Struthio camelus: one gene and its partner. The protein of the gene in region 2 interacts with the protein of the main gene of each other region in a biochemical or structural test. Links are inferred from orthologs where the notes say so. Each region holds a gene or a part of one and is shown on either strand. Other genes may lie near its edges.

Evidence for each region. The genes of interacting proteins can lie anywhere in the genome.
Region 1: of the proteins of LIMK2 (region 2) and ROCK1, one has a biochemical effect on the other in vitro, tested with the Homo sapiens proteins (2 studies listed by BioGRID). The link is inferred for Struthio camelus from reciprocal best matches to the Homo sapiens genes LIMK2 and ROCK1.

What each region holds. Positions count from the first base shown.
Region 1 is NC_090943.1:120,255,486-120,265,813, forward strand, and holds the start of ROCK1 (rho-associated protein kinase 1), read right to left. Parts: upstream 4,531-10,328; 5' UTR 3,374-4,530; coding exon 3,281-3,373; intron 1-3,280. UniProt on the Homo sapiens protein: Protein kinase which is a key regulator of the actin cytoskeleton and cell polarity.
Region 2 is NC_090958.1:8,181,618-8,191,204, reverse strand, and holds the start of LIMK2 (LIM domain kinase 2), read right to left. Parts: upstream 4,712-9,587; 5' UTR 4,524-4,711; coding exon 4,508-4,523; intron 882-4,507; coding exon 782-881; intron 1-781. Other genes in the region: E3 ubiquitin-protein ligase RNF185, read right to left, coding at 7,514-7,611, 8,709-8,826. UniProt on the Homo sapiens protein: Serine/threonine-protein kinase that plays an essential role in the regulation of actin filament dynamics. Acts downstream of several Rho family GTPase signal transduction pathways.

The sequences.
Region 1 (10,328 bases), on a different chromosome or scaffold from region 2:
TTTACGAATTTCAACTTACATTCCACAGGAAGGAAGTTATATAGTTCTCAGTATGTCTTTTCCTCCTGTTTTGTTGTCACAACTCTTCTCCCACACCTTCCTGAATCCATAACACTCCTTCCTTTGTATTAAATCTTCCCCCCTCCCTCATCTTCTTTTCTTGATATTCTCATACTACTTCAAACATAAAAAACTTAGGGTATTTCTAGCACAAAGAACCTAGTTCATTGCATCCACAAAACCAAAATGGCTACAGTCCACTTGAAAGGTTATTTCAAATCCACCCGTTAGTCTACAAGGGTTACCAAGTGATGGGGTGGGGTGGGGGGAGGGGGAGTGCATGGAAAGCAAGAGTAAGAATGGAAGCAAAATAAAGTAAAGCTAAAGAGGATAACATCTAAAGAACAGCCAAGGGCATTGCTGAGACTGTTCTTCACACAGTCAAAAAAGTTTGTTTCTTGAACCTAAAGAAGTTGCAGCATTTTTCAGCCTATATAGGCTGAAAACTAGTATAGAGAATACTAGTTGTTGAATTTAAAGTACCTGTGCAGAGATATTTATATATTACAGCTTAGATGCACAGTTAACTGACACCTCTGCTGAGGAAAAGTGAAAACCGCCATAAATAACATCAACTCAGGCCTTTATTCAAAGGTTTTTAGAGTGTTATTATTATAAACAAGGGCAAGCTTATTTGTATCAAGTCCTATCATCAAACATGACTTTATTTTTTAATGCATCAGGACTGGAGATTGACAAGTTTTTGTTTTGTTTTGTTTTTTTGTGGGGGAGCTGGGAAGGAGAGGGGAGGAGTGGAAGGGAGGGTAGGCAGAGAGTTCATCCTGAAAGAGGTTTTAAGTGGAGATCAGTTGCACCTCTACCTAGGCATTTTTTTTGCCCTTAAGAACATCTCCATATAGATACAGAAGGAACAGAAAGTTCCATCTGAACATGAGGAAAAACTTCTTTCCTGGAAGGGTGACTGAGCACTGGAACAGGTTGCCCAGAGAGGCTGCAGAGTCTCCTTCCCTGGAGACATTCAAAAGCCATCTGGACACAATCCTGGGCAACGTCCTCTCGGTGACCCCGCTTGAGTGGGGAGGTTAGACTAGATGATCACCAGAGGTCCCTTCCAATCTCAAGCATTCTGTGATTTTTATGATGGATTTAATATGCAAGTAGTACTTTGGGCCAAGAACGACGCTGGTCTTGTGAATCATCACACTAAGACCTGGTGTCAAATATTTAAACCCTTTAAAAAGGGTTAGAGCAGATACTTACATGCTATAGGAACTCTAAAACCAACTAACAAGGAGAGATACAAGGCCCAGTTAAGTCCAGCCAACACAGAGACTGATACAGTGACTAAACAGAGTTAACATATCAGCTGATGCCTGAATCATAAGTAGGGGCTAGCCAAAAAAAAAAAAAACACCCTATCGATCATACCATAAGAAGTTACCTCTAAAGCAATACTTTGAGGTACGCCAAAATCTCAGAAAAGTCATAAGAAATAATCAATTTAAGAGATATTCTTAATACTTGAGGTGCAAACATTCTAAAACTTTACACAAGCGTGACAGGAAGCATCCCAACAAGATCAGTTCCAAAATTAACTACAGCTTAACTCCAAGCTGTAACGCATATTCACTGGAAAGGAACAAATGCTGAAACTGATTAACCGATCAAGGAATACAGTTAGAAATACTATCAACCGCATGTTTGATTATCTGCAACCTCCTACTGCTGTAAAAAGCCCCAACAATATGGCCAACCTCAGTGCACATACTAGAAAATTGAGACAAGATTAACTCTGGATGATTAATTGATTCTCTATTCTTGACTTCTACCAACAGACAATGGGTATAAAATGCAGAATTTTGAGGCACTGTCTTGCATCATCAAAACTAACAAAGTACATTGTAAGCATCAGACCAGTTCCACAAGCAGTGGTTTTCAGAGGACATCCAGACCACAAGATGCGTAACGTAGTTCAAAAGAAATAGCTTCTCTACAGGATGTGATGCTACTTTCCTTAGCGCCAATAGCAGCCACATGAGGTTTTATCCATGGAGGTAGGTTTGACCTGTCAATACTTACAGCCTCACAACTCAGTAATAAGCTAAACAGAGCACAAGATGCCACTGACCCACACCCACTCTTTCATTAGAATCTCTCTTCCACAACTTTTACGCTTAAGTGCGCTTTATGGTAAAAGCCAGACAGTAGACGAAGAATGACTGTTAATAGCTATCTCCACCTCCACACCTCTTCTTCCACTCCCCCAAAGTCAGAGTTCACACTAGGAACAAATTCAATTTAATGTTTCCTTTCTGCAACACTAGTAAGCCAAAATAAAAAATAAAAATACAAACTTTTATCACTTGCTCCAAAGAAAATGAATTAGCTGGATCAGCATAAAACCATACATTACACTTCACTACTATTTAAGGGCATTTCTAGGAGTACCATGTACCCAGATACATCACAAAACAATTCACAAAACTATTTGGTATACGCTTTGTTAAGACACTTTTTAATCTCAGAACCGAAATAATCCTCACTTTTGTGCAAGTAACCATCAAATGATGTGGGTTTTACATGAGGAATGAAGGGTTACATCTTGCTTTCTTATGATGCCATTACAAGACTGACAGCATTGGAGAGAACCAAGGAACCACCAGGTATGACCAAGTAGGAAAACAAAAAGTAGCAGACCCCGTATTCCTGGCTCAGCATATGGAGCTTAATATGCATTTAAACCCCTGCCATGATACTTCTCCACCTGTAAGGGCATTATAACTGTAGAACCGTATTTTACAAGTCATTAGTTGATATCTGAGTCAGAAGTCAATACTGCAGTGCTTAATCACAACATAAGAGCACCTCACTCAAAAAAAAAAGTAAACATTGCAGAACAGGAAATTGGTCTATCAAAGCTATGTACAGTCTTTTGCTTACATACAAGACTGGCACTCATGAATTGCACCTTTGCACAAAAGGCATCCTCTGCCTCTCATAACAGCCAGTGAAGTAAAGAAACGTGCACGAAACGAGTGAGATGGCAACTCTGAGGCAGGTGACTGGGAAGTCACCTGCTTGGTAGGAAAGCCACTCACCCGGCAGAAAGATTCACACACTCTTTAGTTCAGTATTGGGTAAACAAGACATCACTACGGAGTTAAGCTGAGTGACTCAGCCACGAGAGAGAGATTCAGTCCCACAGGGTAAGAAATTCGGGGAGATGGGACAGAGGGCCCCATCGGCGCTCGCTACTTACCAGTAAACAGTCCACATTCACTTCAGATTTGGGGTCCTTTAAAGTCACATCGATTTTTTCAAACCGAGACTCAAAACTTTCTCCCGTCGACATGTTTCCGAAGATAAAAAGTTTCCCTTATTCCACAGCAAAGCAAGGGTTAAAAAAAAAAAAAAAGAAAAACAGGAACAAACAAGCACAAAAGAGAAACCACACAGCCTATAACAGGCTGAGGAGCGCTTCCTACAAAATCCCTTCAATCACCGAAGTCTCTAAGGCAAGTCCCCCACGCTGCCCCACAAAGGAAAGTTAAAACCAAAGGAGAGTGCTTTGGAGTCCGCAATTGGGGGGTGAAGGGGGACAAGGTTGCTTCTCCCCTCTCCTGCGCGCACGCACTTTCCTGGGCTGCTCACAACTCTGTAGCAGGTTTCCTCTCCCTCCCTCCTCTACTCGGGCCCCAGTGTCTCAGCAGCCTCATTTTCCCAGCCGGGGAAGCCGCCCTAGGAGCCAGCGTAGCGGTTCCTCCTCTTCGCCCTGCAGGATCAGCCGCAGGTAGGTGCCAACTTCCGAAGCACAGCTTTCTTCGCGAAAAAGCGGAGGAAAGAGCAGCGGCAGCAAAAAAAAAAAAAAAAAAAGAAAAAGCCAAAGTGCCCCAGTCTGCACGCACACCACCACAGGAAAAATAAAAGGGGGGTGGGGGGGGAACCAACTCAGGAAACTCCTCTCGGCGGCGTGCCTCAGCGCTTCGGGGTTGCTCCCTCCATGGAGCAAGGGGCGAGGGAGCCCGGGGCGGCCCGGGGGCCGAGGCTGCCCCCTCTCCTCGGCTGTGCCCTGCCTGATCCGGGCGGGCAGCGCACGGCTGCCAGCTGCGCACACAGGCCGCCCTGGCCCCCGCTGCGGGTGCCCCTCGCGGGCAGGGGACGAGCCGCTTCAACGGCGGAACGACGGCAGCAGCAGCATCTTCCTCCGTCCTCCTCGTCGCTGCGCGGCCGCCGCCGGCTCCTCACTGCCTCCCGCCGCTGCCAACGCCGGCTCCGCTGCTCCCTCCCCGGCGCCTTCGCCTCACGTACGGGACGACCGGCCGGGCCACTTCAGGACGGACCCGGCGCTGCAGCGTGAGCAGGAGGAGGGAAGGAGGTGGCTGAAGGGGAGGGGAGAGCACAAGGTCCGGCAGCAGCGGCGACGGGTGTGAGGGAACCTGCGAAATCCACAAACATGTCCGCCTTCCTGTTTGAACACTTGGGGGGGGGAGGGCGCAGGGACCGAGGCGCAACGCGCATGCGCTGACGGCACAGCTCTTGACGGGCGGGGAGGGGAAGGCGGCAGAAGGTATGCGCGTGGGGTGGGGGCGTGCGCACGCTGGCGCTGGCGCGCGGCCTCCCGCTCCTTTCCCACCCGCCCCGCCCCGCCCCGCCCCGCCGTCGCTCAACGGTCGAAGGAGGCGTGCGCGCGCCGTGCCCGCGAGACCGGGGAAGGAAAAGGGCGGGGGCCGAGGGAACTGCGAGCGCGAGTGGGCGGTGCGCGCCAATCAGCGGCGGCGGAGCGCGGGGGGGGGAGGGGGGAAGAGAGGGGGCGCGCTGAAAACCGCCGCGGCCAGGCGGGGCGGGAGAGGGTTTGACAGCGGAGTGGTGGCGGGCCCCTTCCGGGGGGGGGGGAGGGAGGGAAGAAACGTCCCCCTCGTTCCCCTTTCCTCTGTGATTCCCCCCCCCATACACACACACACCCCCATGGTGATTTCGATGGGTGTTAGACGCGCGCAGCTGGGTGCGCGGGAGCGGACGGGAAAGCCCGAGGGAGCTGCCATTTCAGCGGGTCCCTGTGAGAGCTGCCGGCGGGGAGCCGCTGCCCGCCTGCGGCTGCAGAGCGCGGCAGTGGGCAGCGGTACGCTGAGCGCACGCGCGCCGCCCCCAAGGGGCAGGTGGCTGTTGGGCCGGCGGCCGCTGGCGGCGGTTGGTGCTCCGCCAAGAGCCGCGCGTGTGAGGAGGCACGCGTAACTCGGCGGGACCGCAGGAAGGACAGGTACAGCACTGAAACGTCGGACCCAGTGCGGCACGTCGTGGTGTTTTCAGCTTAGATGTCAAGACTGCCGTACAGGGCCTGTTCCTTCAGAAAGGAAACTCGAGTAGCATTTTTAAATAATTTAAGTCAGACGCCACGGTGCTGGTTCGGTTCTTCGGCTTCCATTGCAATTCCAGGAATGGTAAAGACATTTTTACAAAAATCATTACAAATCAGAGAATGCCAAGTGATTAATCACTGCTCACTGAACAACTGCCAGTCAAAAACAAAACCTGAGTCACTAGCCTTATGAGTTACTTTCAAGGTCACGATTATGAAACAATCTGCATCCAAGTGCTAGGGCATCTGAGCTATTCAATCTTGAATACTCACTATTTGCTACCTTACCTTATCCAGAGAAAAAAAGAAAGGGCGTTCTGCATTTCAGTTCTCCTTATTCACACCTCTCTGGATTTTTGTTTCTCTCCTTAAATGAGAAGTATGTACAGTTACAGCAAAAATACAAGCTGCAACAACCTGACACTCCTGTTTACTTTCACTCATTTTGTGATGGCTTTTATCACAACCCTTTGATTCAGAGGGTTCGGTGGTTCGTGGAAATGCGGATGTCCCATTTCAACAGCCGCAGTCCAAGGAGAACCTCTCGGGTCCTCTGCAAACTGCTGTGTAGGCTTGTGACCATTTCATATGCAATGCAGCAAATAAAATACAAATACAATGCTTCTTACAGTTCTAATATTAAACAGGGTAAGAACAGTCATTAGAAATACGGAGCCTAATTCACACTGCTTCTAGGCACCTAGTTTGGGCATTAAAATACATACAGGAAAGATGCCAGGCCTCAACAGGTGATTCAAAGTGCCTATCTGAAAAAAATGCAAAATTCATGAGGCCTGTAATAGAGTAGGTAAGAGGAAGCCTGATTCTGTAGCTCAGTGGGAAGGATCACCCCAGGAGCGACAAAATCGTGAGCTGTGCTCCAGATGGTATTTATGTGGTTTATCCAATGACTGTGGGAAAATGCACAGGTAGTCTTTGGAACGCAAGATTTCTTTCATCCTTTCCGGGCCTCTTTTCCCAAAGCTGCATGTGTCTTTCTCTCACTTGCCCTGTGAATCTTGCATTACTTTTTTACAGCAGCCCAGCTTCAGCACAACAGGTGGTGAAAAGCCCCATCCCATTCGCATGGCTGTTTAGAGTATTCACAGAAATGTGAGAGGTCAAGATTGAAAAGGGCCTAGAACCCACACGTTTATTTGCTAGTGAATAATCTTGCCACTAGAACAATACACCTTAGGATCTTTTCCAGTGTTTCTGGTGAGAGAAGCTGCTATGTTTTGTGTTCAGCTGTATGTAAACTGTGTTTCAAATACTTCTATCAGATTGGGCTTTTCTAGCAACCATGGTAAAGTAAAAGTGCTTGTCTGTCTGTATCAAAATTAAAATAGAATTTGTGTGGGAGGTGCTTCACCCAGCTGTCTAGGAAACTATCAGGTGGAAAATAAGACACCAATTGCTTTTAGGTTCCTACAGATCTAGGCAGTGCTGGAGATGAGAAGTTTTGAATCCCTCTCTGAGATTTAGAAGCATAAAATCGGCCCATCTTCCACAGAGGTGGACATTTAGACAATCTGAATGTCATTCATAGTAAGCACTGCTTTGAAAATGTAAAAGTGAGGCTTTGTCTACAAAGACCAAAAGGAGAATAAATTCTAATTTTAAAAGCAGGTATGGGTTAGAAGTGACTGATGTAACACACAGAATGCTCTCTTTGTAACTCAGGGTGTGACCGAAGCATGTAACATAATAATTTCTAACTGAGCAAACACTCATTCCCATGTTTGGATCTCAAAGCACATATTCCTGTGAACTTCCGTCAGACTATTTCTATTTCTAAGATTAAGAGTTTGTATATTTCTAGAATTGGCCACTTAGAAATAATATTAAGTTCCATAATACATAGCCAATCATAATGCCTTGAGCACAGTGTTTTAGGAATATTTTTTTCTCTGACAACACATAAACTAAAAATGGGTAGTTTCTTCTTCCTGCATTTCTTGCTTCACTTTGGAATTTAGCTAACTTTTGTTGAACGAAGTGAAAACTACTCAACATATGTATGAACTGGTAACGCTGAGCTGATTAAGCATATAAGCCTGAAACGTTTTTTTTCCTCTCCAAAAGTGTATATCCTCTAATACTAGGAACTGTGTGTAACCTCATGTCCATGCTCTGTAAGCAAGCACATTAATATCCTTGACAAAGCAGGAATCATGATCTTTGCATTCATGTCATCTTGCCTATTTTATAAGATATTTAAATATTCCTGGTTTTAATGTGATGCAAATATGACAAACTGACACTGACTCAGGAGTTGCATGTTGATAAAGACTGCAATTTCCTAATAAATACAGAAGAAAATCAGTAAAGTATAGAATCACTATATTGGCTTCCTCTAGAACATTAAACCATACTTATAAAAAGCTTATTTGGTAGTGTTTATCATATAAATAGTATTTTATATTACAGTAATCCATCCTGTATTACAGTAATCAGACTGATCAGATATCATCACAGTTTAAATAGTGCATATTTCAAGAAATTAATAAAAAGCAGGAATAAAACAGCAATAGAATACTTGGCAAACAATCGGGCCCTCTCTGAAGCAGGTATTGTCACACCAATCCTCTCATGAAATAGCTAAGAAAGATTAAGTCAAAGGCCTTGTAGTAAAGTCAAAGGCCATCCAGATTTTTTAGGTCGCTGAGTGTGCATCTTTTAAATGAACAGAATGAGAGAAAAAGCTAGGATATGGTGATTTCTGATGTAACTACTGACTTCAGAAGAGTTACACAAGGCACAAATGAGACTATATCCTGCTCACCATATTAGGCTAAGTTAGTAATGTGCGTGTACCTTCACATTCAACTTCCTATTTAGTCAGCATGAAACCTACAGCAGTTAAATCACGTTACATTAAGGCTGCCTTTGGTCATCCACCCTCTCTTCATGTTTGCCATGCAATACTGACTCAAGTTCACCTCAGCTGTAGTCTTTAGGGCATTCAATAGCACAGATCAATATTGCTCAAAGCTCTGAGATGAAAACTGTGGTCAGCAAAGGTACTCCTTCGGGAAAATAGTCTACCACAACTAAAGCTCATCTGTGCGACAGAAAGGCCTTTCTCAGGAGCTTTCTCAGTATTTCAGGCAAGGAATGATGGCAGCTCACGTAGACAATACTGAACTGGCTTTAGGTAATGATAAAGTAACACCAACACTGGTATCTGTGTACCTGCAAAATTTGAAGAAAAGGCTGTGTTAGGTGTTGAGAGGTGGTTGCTCTATTGGCTATAGTCTTCCTGTTGCCTGTTGGCCAATTTCAAATGCAGTCACACTATTGACTGCAGTACAGCTCCCTTGCTTCCTCTGGACGCCGGCAGCTCAATGTGAAAAAAAAAAAAAAAACTCAGGGAATTAAAGATCATAAGCTTAAACTGCAAAATGCACAAACTGTGAACATGTTAACAAATTCTACCAATGGGAGAGAGAGAGAATATTAACAAACGTTACAGGTATTAGTTGTATCACTCAGTACACTAAGAGAAGGCATTTTGGTTCTTCCAGGATGAGGCAAAATGTAGCAAATAGAGTATAGAGTAGAGCAGAGCAGAACAGAGTAAAAATTACCTATAAAATAAAAATTGCTAGGAAGAGAAAACAAATTTGAATAATAGGAGACAGAAAGGATAGCCCCTTAGCATGAATATACTTAGTGAAAGTAGTACCTTTTCAAATATTTGAAGACACTGAAACATTGCAATATGTATGCGTGCAAATATATATGTTTTGCTGCTTGTTACTAGCTTTAGTTCTAGGTACATGATCTTCTATAGCCTAATGTTTTGGGGCTTCTTGCCAAAGGACAGTTACTGCTGTTTCCTTTTACAATGGAGTGCATTCTCAGGCACCATAGTACTTTTTCAGATGTAGAACTGGAATGCCGGGGAGAAATTGCTCCGCAGCCTGGCTGTAGTGAGTGATGAACAAGACATGGGGCACCTGGATTTTTGTTCCATTTTCTGGGAGTAGGAGCAAGAAATAAGTGAAAAAATAACCTTTTGGATCCTTTCCAACGGCCAAGTTTGATGGAGGGGCCCAGGTCTGCAAACAAACTGCTGCAAGCCAGGAAGTGAACTGGATCGGATTGTCTGCTCCAGCGGAAACACAGAAGCAGTTGCTGCCAGCAGACAAGGGTATAGTTATATAAACAGCTCAGCGTAGGCTCTCCCAAAGTAACTTTTGCTGTATCTGGAAAGGAGGGGAGCTGTGAGTCCAGAGATAGATACCAATCCACAGGGTAAATATCTGGTCACCAGATGGCTCAAACCAGTATCAACCATGAAGACATACACAGTGCAGGCTCCCTTTGCTTTTATGCTTTAAAAGTGCAAAAAAAGTCTGTGACCAATATATGGCACAAGCTCACAATGTGATTTTAAATCAAATCAAAACAAAATTCCACTAGAACGCTGAAGGCTTCATACCTCAATAAGGACAGTTTCCGTGGCAAATACCATTTTCCCACTGAAGCCATTTGGTGGGTACAGGAAAAGTTAAGATGCCAGAAATTCTTCTTTTAGCCTGGGAAAAAGCTTTTTTTTCACTATCCTGGAGCTTAAAATTGCCCCAAGTACTTCTTGCTTGCAATCTTCAGAAGCCCACTAAACCCAGTCAGAAGAAGCATGGAAAACTTTACCCTGTAAAATGAAGGCTGCAGAAAGTTAGGAGTATATTAAAGAAGGAACTAAAAACAACTCTCCTGATGGTATCATCTATCAGGATATAAAACAACATAGAATTATTTGTATTTTCTTATTCCCGTTATAAGTAGAGTGATTACCTTCATTATAGACCTCTTTGCAGGTTAAGCTGCCATGAACCCGACTTTCTGTTACTAATTTGTTTAGCTATGAATTATCTACAAGATTAGTAATTTTTCTTCTTCTTTCTCCAGTTCGTACTCCTAAGCACTCTTTCTCTGAATAAAT
Region 2 (9,587 bases):
CATATGATGTCCAAAACATCAGCCTCTCCAGATTCAAGCCAACAGCTGCTCCTACAAAGAAGCCCATAGAAGCTGCAGGTACTCAACCCCTCTCAAAAATCTAGGCCCCCTCAGAAGCATGATTCTGGAGCATGAAAACTGGACTGACTATTCATGGGACACAGACTGGAGGTATGAATCCTACTGCCAGGAAGCAGAGCATATCAGAGACCCCCTTTTTGTCCTTGCTGCTAGCGACATTATCCCAAGAGATTTCTGTATGTATGCCTTAAATTGTATGTCTTAGTAGTCTGAAAAAAAGAGAAAGCACAAAGGTAAGATCTCCCTCCATATCAGCAACACCCTGGTATCTCTCTTGTACCACATATGGAAACAGCAACAGGCTATCCAAATTGTCCGGGCATTACTTTGGAATGCAGCTGAAGACAAATATGCAACCCATGGCTTCTGCTACCACCAGTAAATCAGACCTTTCATTTGTACTTTATCTGTATTCTCGGGTGTGTTGGCGTCAGCATGGCAACACTTTGCCAGATAGTTTCAGACTGCTATTCGAATGGAAAGTCAGTTCCAAAGTGCTACTGCCAGCACTGAAGTACAGCTGCAAACAGGAGAGGGAGAGCGCAATTGCTCTGCAAGAGGCTCCAGAGCAGTTTAGACAGAGATGAGAGCAAGATATTGTCACTAGCCTAACTCCCTATGAACGTTGGTACTTCATCCACCAGGTTCCTAGCTAGTTTATTAACACAAGGAGAGTTTAATGGGCTAAAATTTTACCCACCGAAAGCAGGAACTATGCCAAGCTTCATTAACAGTCCTGTAGATGCGCTGACCAGCAGCAATGCTGTCCCCACATCCTAGGCATCTCCAGATCTCTTCACCTGCATGCAGGAATAAGGCGAGTTAGAGTAACCATTTTACTTCAAAGGAAACAAGGATTCCTGCATCCCTGACAAAAGACATCCTCAAATTATGTATCTGACATCAAAGCCTTCACGCACAGAAAGTTAAGCCAATACTGGCCACTCTGTAATCCCAGGGACAGAGGTTTCTGAAATGAACATTTAATGTACTACTTCCCCCTCTGTTCCCCCCCCCTCCCCCCAAGATCCCACACCACCATCAGCTTCCTCATATTCTGCAGAAGAAAGCAATATTATTTTTCGCAAGGCCAGGAAGTCAAGCTACTGTTTCCCCCATGCCACTGACTCAGCACATAACATTTGCACTCATTTGTATAATTAACTGCATTTCCCAGAACAGAAAGAAAGGAAAGGCAAACTTTATTCAGCAGAGGACAACTCGACTACCAGGAAGGAATTACACACTTGAATGGATATTCCAGTAGAGACTGTACAACGAACACTAGACTGGAGCCAGATTTAGGGAGAGGGGCATATGCTATTGGCCTATTATTGCTTCAGAAAAAGCCGTGGCTAGTCCAAGAACTATAATAGCTTCTGCTAGAAGTGCCATAAAGCCCCTGAGACAGCTAGTTCTTTAGGTGTATACAAGCTAGAAAAACTGTATGAAGATTCTTGTACAAAGATAAATGCTATCCCGAATCCAAACAGATACAAGTACTATCTTAAAGCAAGAACCAAGGATCTGGATGGGCACAAGATGGTGCAAGAAACATGTTACACAGCTACTGGGCAGATCTCAAACCTGTTTCTTCTTGCTACTAGAGGTTTACTTGCAGCAAGGTTGCATAAAGAAAAAAGCATGCTTAGAGAAGGAAAACCACTAACCACGGACTTCCAGTTTCCAAAGAACAGAAAAACTCAGCAGTCACTCAATTACCCCTTCTTCCTAAAGCATACATTAAAGGAGACAGTTTTTCTCTGGGATCAATTGCAAGTATCAAATATTTGCAACGGGGTGCAGTTGCACACTTGCAAGCAGTAAGCTGTCAGATGCAAGCAGCTTCCTTCTGTAACTTCACCCTGTAACTTATACAGATACAAGATAGCTCTTAAACGGACCAAATCCTTTTCAATCATTTTCCTACAGTTACCACCTCTGTAAGTTCACATAAAACAGGGAGAACACCTACCCATTAGCTATTTGTGAGATGAACTTCATGTCAGCTATTATAGAATCTACAGGCTAGAAACCACCCAGGATATGCAAGTCTAGTACAGAAAAAGCCAACACTACTTCTAGGGTTACACTTTTCACTTACTCCCCAGACTCTGAATGGCCAAGTCAAGTTTAAAAAAGGTTCAAATGCCTACTCCAAACAGAACCAAGCTAACTTTTACTCTCCAGAAAAGACCCAGCTACAGCAGACACAGTCAGCTGTATGATGCTAGAGAAGAAAGCCGTAGAAGGTTAACAGGTTAGCATTTATAAGCCCAGCCTCAGTTGCACAGGGAAGATGATTTATTTATCTCATAGTCTCTCTTTAGCTTCATGGTTTAAACTGAGAGAACGTTACCACCTCCAACAGATACAATTCAAAGACACAGAACTACTAGGTTATGGGCTTATCAGAATAATAGTAAAAAAGAGAAAGAGAGAGAGAGAGAGAGAGAGAGAGAGACACACACACACAATATTCAGTGCTCCAGTAACAAATCAATATTGCAAAAGGCTCTGGGACTAGTTAATGAAAGCCCCTGTGACAGCAACCAGAGAAGCGGTATTCAGTACGTATCGTGACATAGTAGTTATGATTACCGCAATGTGGATGGGCAAAGCATCACCTTGAAATGCTAGGGTAAACAACCTGGGAGAGCTTAAAACAAATAGAGCAGGGAACCAAAAGAGAGAAGTAAAGATAAGAGGAGGAAAAAGTCTAGATTTAGTGATTAAAATAAAAGCTCAATACTCAGCATAGACTATGTAGAGGTGCTCAAGGTACAGTAAATTCCCCTTGCTCACATAGCTTTCTAAACATTAATAGGTATTGAGGCCAAGTTCCTTGAAGTTACACAAAACATAAGTCATTAGACTTCTATGCATTCTTACCCCACTGCGTGGGTCAGTTAACAACACTTAAAAATAACTAGGCTGAAGATGTCCTCGTACATTTTCACAGATAACTGTTTCAGTGACAGGACTTGTTGCTCAAGCACAAACAAGCACCACCCTTGTCAGGGGATGAGCAGTACCCACAAAGGTCTCTATGCAGACTACAGTGCTAGACAGGATTCATTCAGATGTGGCATAAGCTGCTACTTCATTTCCCAAGAACACTTCAGCTCAATACCTGGGAATGCTTCTGCTCCCTCCTGCTATCTGGAGCACAGCGAATTCCAGCTGAGCTCAGATCTCCACTGCTGGAAGAGGGTTAGGAGACACTTACAAAAAGCTTAAAGCTTGCACTACTTCACATGTGCCTCTGTAAAACGAAATGCTTTTCAGTGCACTACAACAGGCTTAGAAACAAAAGGCAAGTCCACGTATGCCCATGACATAACGGGCAGGGAGCAGGGGCACTTCTCTCCAAGTAACGTAACACAAGTCCTCAAAGCCAGCTGAATTACTTCTGGAATTCCTGCCACTCTACCAGCCAAGTAAGGCTGCAAATCACACATCCCTCAGCTCCACCCCCCCGTCCCCCCTTTAATGCCAGGAGCAGAAGAAACAAATGTGAAAGCAGAAAAGAGAACCTGTTTCCAGAAATTGAAGGACCAATTATTACACTACTGCTAACTAAAAGCAACAGACATTCCTCCACAAGGATCATACAGCTTTACAAGTTCACTTCTAAACTCTGTGCACTAGTCATCTTCCAGCTGCAAAGCTGAAAAATTTAACTGCATCCAGGAAGGCTGATTAGCCCACAAAAGGAAATGAATAACGCTATATTCAACTGAAATTCCTTAGGCATCCAGGAGAAGTGATGGAAGTGGGAGGGAAAAAAAAAAAAAAAACAGAGCAGGAAATAGCGCGAAGGAAAAGCAAAGAGACATAATCAATATAACAGGTCTGCCAAGTCCCGCAGGCCGGGAGGAGCGTTGCAGAGAGGGCCAGCGGCAAGCCGGCGAAAGGAGCCCCCCGCCGAGCAGCAAAGCCCGGCAGAGGACCAGCGGGGCCGCCCTCCGGCGGCAGCGGGGCTGCCAGGCCCCCGCAACCAAGGGAGCGGAAAGCGAGCAAGACCGCCGGGTCCCGGCGGACAACCACGCTAAGGAAGGGCGAGCAGGAAACGGGGACGGACAGCCTGGCCTCGGCGGCGCGAAGCCGCGCAGCCCGCCACCCTCGGGGCACGCAAACACCGCGCCGCCTCTCCGAGCCCGGCGCACCGGGGCCCGGGCCAGACCTCCCCCGGGACGCGGGGCAGCAGCGGGGCAGGCAGCGGCCGGCCTGGCCGACGGGCTCGGCAGCCGCGGGGACGGCGGGCGGGCCCGGGCGGGGCCGCGCGCAGCCCCGCACCTGCCGCCCAACCGCCTGACGGGAGCCGCAGCCCGGCGCGGCAGCCCCGCGGCTGGGCAGGGCGGCGGCGGCGGCGCTCAGCGCCCACGGTAGGCGCGGCGCGGCCCGGCCCTCCCCCCCGCCTCACCTGGCAGCTCCTCCATCACCGCTGCCGCCGCCGCCCCGGGGCTCGCCCGCGCGTGACGTCAGCCGCTACGGAGCGCGCGGTAGGTCACACCGCACCTGGCCCGGGTGCGCGCGCGCGCGCTCGCGCGCGAACCCCCTCCTCCCTTCCCTTCTCTTGCTACTTCTCTTTCCTCGCTTCTACGGCCCTGAGCCGCGCCCCGCCCCCGCCCTTTTCCTCCCCGCAGGCCCAATCGCCGCTCCGCCTCCCGGCGGCCGCAGACCAACCCCCGCCGCCCTCCCGCCCCTTCCGCGGCGCGGCCCGCCCCTCCTGCGGCCGGGGCCAATCAGGGAGCGGCCCCGCCCCGGCCCCGCCCCCCACGTGGCGTGGCGGGCTCCCGCCCCCCGCCGCCCCCCGCCGCCGGGCCCGGCCGCCCCTCCCCCGCCCGGCGGCAGGTACCGACCAACGGCCGTTGGGGCGCGCGCGCCCCGCGCAGCCGCCGTGACTGGGCCCCCGGCGGAGCGCGCAGAGAGGCCCAAGACGCTCAGGTCAATGTAAAACCATTTTTTTTATTCTAAATCACTTTCACAACAGTGAAAATTAGTGAACAGTAACGGTGACGCACTAAGCGAGCCGTTAGGGGCCGCGTGCGGTCTCAGTACAAGGGGAAAGTGCTACAATACAAAAAGCACACCGAGAGAAAGGTAAGAACAAAAGCATTAACACTTTTAGACTATTTCATTCTTGGATTGCCTGGAAATTAAGGACTCTCAGTCATGTTTCTGCAGCCACCTCAGTCTAAAGCCATTGCTTCTCTCACCAGTAGATGGCAACACCCCGCCCCCCAAACCATTAAAAATTCTGTATTTTAAAACATAAGTGTTAGTTAAATCTCGATTAATACCTCTTTTGAGCCTACGACAGTTACTTTTCCGTCCTCCTTGTAGGAAAAAGGCTTTAAAGGGATACCCTACTCCTTCCTGGGTAACCGCAGCTCCTTCTCGGCACCCAGTTTCTCGGTACTCGGGGAGAAGGAAAACCCTCCCTTGTACAACCACGAGAACTTTTCCTTTTCATCAGCAGGTGGTGCTGCCTGCTCACGAAAGCCCGTCAAAGCTGCGACGTTTTTTACAAACTATGGCCGGTTGCTTGTAGGAATGCAATAAATAGCCTTTCTCCTAGAAAGGGTCCTACTTCCCGAGTTACGCACTTGAGAAGAAGCAGATGTAAAAGAAGTTAAGCTTCTCAAAAGTGCCACACAACAAAAGTTGAAGCATTGCTTCAGCTATTTATAGTTGAGAGAGATATTCTGCCAGATTATCAGCAAGTCAGGTATAAACTCGACTGGATGTGGCAAAACACTGCAGAAGCTTTGCAAAATTGTACTTGCCACGTGGAATTTTGGAGGCGGGCAAGTTAAACCTCAGTGAACAGTTTATAATTACAGAAGTTAGCTTGCACAACAATTAATCAAGGTGCCTTGCCCAGGAACCTCATCCATATGCATGAGAAAAAGCCTAACTATTTAAACAAGGCTTCTATGAGTTGATTTGTTTTGTCAGCTGTCAGTCAACTGCCAAGGAAGTCAAAATATTCATCTTGCAGGAAATTATTATGACTATCAGTGATCTGAATCAAAATAATTAAAAATAATTTAAAAAAAAAGTTGGAATTGCCTAGTCAGAAGAAAAATCAAAACTGTTCATCTTGCTAGGGAATCCCTCATAGCTGCTGTTCTGAAAGAATCTACACAAATACATCAGGAATACTTTTTAAAGCTATGTACCCAACAGGATTCCAAAAAGGCTAGTCTTGTGTGCTCACCTTCTGAAACGTTTTTCCCTCAGCACAGAAATGGTTGTAGTTTCCTCCATTATTTCCAATGAATATCTTTGGTAGATATTGCAATGACTCTTGCGCTATAGCCATTTTGTTGTGGCACAGAGCATCTTTACACATCTGTACAGAGAAACTCTTCCAAATGCTCCCCACTGTGGCTAGCAAAGGTAGGATTTCATTCCCCCTCCTGCATAATTTTACAGTATGACAAGTTTAACCTCAAAGCTCACTTTAAAATGTCCCTCATTCCTCTCCCCCAAAAAGCTGATCTCAGATCTGTTAATAGGATTTTATTTGGAGTACATGATCTTGCTTAATGTCTCACAGCCTTAGGAAAAAGAAATGTAGCTACAGTGACAAGGCTGTGAGGGGATTATCCATGGGTGCAGCCAGAGACTGCTGTGAAGAACCAAGGAAGACAACACTGTTTTGTCAGCGGGGAACTGAGCTTGGGTGAGGCAGACAGGTGTGTGTACTGTTCGGCAACCCCAGCCAGCTCCACGACGAGAGCATCTTCCAGTGTCTGGCTCCAGCAAATGCAGGTTTTAAGAAACTGCAGCATAAACTTGTATCCCTTCTTATAACAGCCACTGGAACCACTTCAGCAGGGAGTTTTCCATCACTCCATCAAATAACAGCAAGAAAAGAAAGCATTCTCCAAAGCTGGTTCCATTTGCATCACAAGTCACGCCCAAGGAGTCTCAGCAGTGCTGCAGATGACTTCCTGAAGAAGGCTAGATGTTGATGTGAAGACATCAAACAACATCCGCAACTCCAGCTGGTCCATCGTGGTTGCCAAACATGAGATACAGATCACACTACAGAACTTTGCTTACCTGCCCAGCCTACCTTGGGGCAACTGTCTTTCAAGTAAACCTGTTGTAACTAATTGGCACAGGATTTAAAAGCAGCACTCCTTTTAGAAGTGGAGCTCAAAGCTAGCCCCATGGTTTGTGGCAGGAACCTGTTGTACAAGATAGCTGAGCTGAAATATGCTTTTAAACCAATGTTTAATTTCCAGCTCTGGTGCAAAACGCGAGATTCTTCATTGTGCTGTGGTACCACCAGTTTCTGGAACCCGTGATTAGCTATGGAACCAGACACCAAGAGGTTTAAAATGGGAAGGGGATGCAGTTTGTAACTGTTTCAGAGGCCTCGCTGGCCATGAATATACAGGATAATGGAAAAGATTTATGCAATCAACAGCCAGAACATTATCACCAGAGCCACAAACAGGAAGAGGCGGGATAGGAACTGCTCATCCACATATTGAGGAGTCCCTGGAACAGCTGGAAAACAGGAAGTAAAAAAAACAGTTCAGCTCTTTCAACTTCTCCAGAATATTGTATATTCTGCATATAGCACATTCATAAGTTGAAAAATACGCAAGAAATCCACCTGCAGAAAAACTGTTGCTGACAAGGTTTCCTATCCTTGGGTTGCCTAGCCATGCCAGAAGGTCAGAAGGAAGAGAAGCATCAGCTCCTCAGAGCAGAACTGGCAGTAGGCCTGCTCATGACTAATAGGAGCAGGCAGCTCCAAGTGCTAAGTCCGGACAAGTCCGTTCAGAGTACTGGGGACAAAGCTGAGCTAAGTTCATTGTTGCCAGGTGTTTCCATCCTGAGGAACTTTACAACCTCTGCCTCAGCCTTCCTTCCCCCTCAAGGTGAAATACATCTCTCTGCATATGCAAATGGTAACAGAGTCAAAACTTGCGTGTGTAGCCTTGACCAAGAGAACTGATGAAAAGCGCACAAGCTTAAAGCTCTGGATGGACCTTTCTGGAACTGCTGTATTGAGTCCCCAGATGAAAAGCAGATAAAAGCGTTGGTTAAACGATGGCTGTATATCAGCACACATTTAAATACCCCTCAGTTCAGGCAGACCCCACACAATTTTTCAGTGCAAAGCAAAGTATAGCTGATAGGCAAGTTCATTTGGCCCAAGGACAACACAGGTCCTTTTCAATACACATGTGACATGAAGAATGACCTTCTGGTTTTTTCCTCATAATTCCTAGGCCAAAACACAATGTATCCTCAACCCATATTATAGAGTGAAGTAAATTTACCAGGTGGAACCTTTCACCCAGGAAGTCCAGAAAACGTTGGGCAGTAGGTTTTCTCGTTTGAAACAGGTAGACTCAGTTATTCCTACAGTGCTGATAGGGAGGTGTGTTTCTGGGGATTACCAAACAACTTTTAGAGAACGAGACCACTATTTGAAGTAACTGAACTGTTTTTTCTTAATTAAAAAAAAAAGTGAAATTATTTCACCAGAAAGTGAAATTTTGTCACTTAGCAGGCTATTTTTTTAGAAGTCACAAGTAAGTTTGTAAAACATTTGTTTATGATATGACTCTCCTAGAAGGTAGGACGCACAGTACCTGGAGGAGGTCGCCCGTCATTTATGTTGAATGCTGTGGCAAATATACCAAAGGGAAAGGCCCCAATTCCGAATGACATTTGGAAGCCACCATCCCCAAACCCAAAGCCCTGGAATCCCTGCAGAGAACAAAGCAACAGAAGATTAAAAAAAGGCTACAAATCATTTAAAACATATCTCAAAAACATTTTGCAAAACTGCAGACAAACGTTCCCTCTTGCTGGCTTCTTTCCTAAGGCTGAAGGATTGGCATGCTGTCTGACAACTTTCAGTTTGCCACGCTATTGTTACCTACCTCCCTAGTTCTCCTGGTTGTAAAGTGTTTCACACAGTAGCAACTTTCCCAGAGCAACCCAAAAGTTTGAGAAAAAGGAAACCAGGAACTGCAGTTCTTGCTTGAAGGCCACAAATTAGCCAAAGCATTTCTGTAATTTCTCAACCTAAAACCAGCATATATCTGACAACATATCAAAATCAACATTACCAACGCTATTTAGAACATTTAAATACTGCAATTCTATATTAAGAGCTATTAGCCATATCTAAAGCAAAGGCATTGTGAAAAATAACCTATATTGATTTTTCTGATATACATGCATCACTTAAACATTCAGTAAAGGGATAAATTGCAAGTGGGATGCCTGGAGCATTATAGGGAAGAACAATACCCAAAAAAGTATCAGGGAGCCCGTACCTGAGCTGGCATATAAAGTCATCTGGGGCAGGATTGCAGGACAGGATAAAAGAACAGAAGATGCAACAACACGGACCCATAGGGGGTCCAGAGCAACATTCCATGTCAAGTCAAAAGATAAGTCATCTGTGTCAAGATGAATCGCAACATATAAAAGCAGTGGTAAGAACCAACTGTATGTAAATC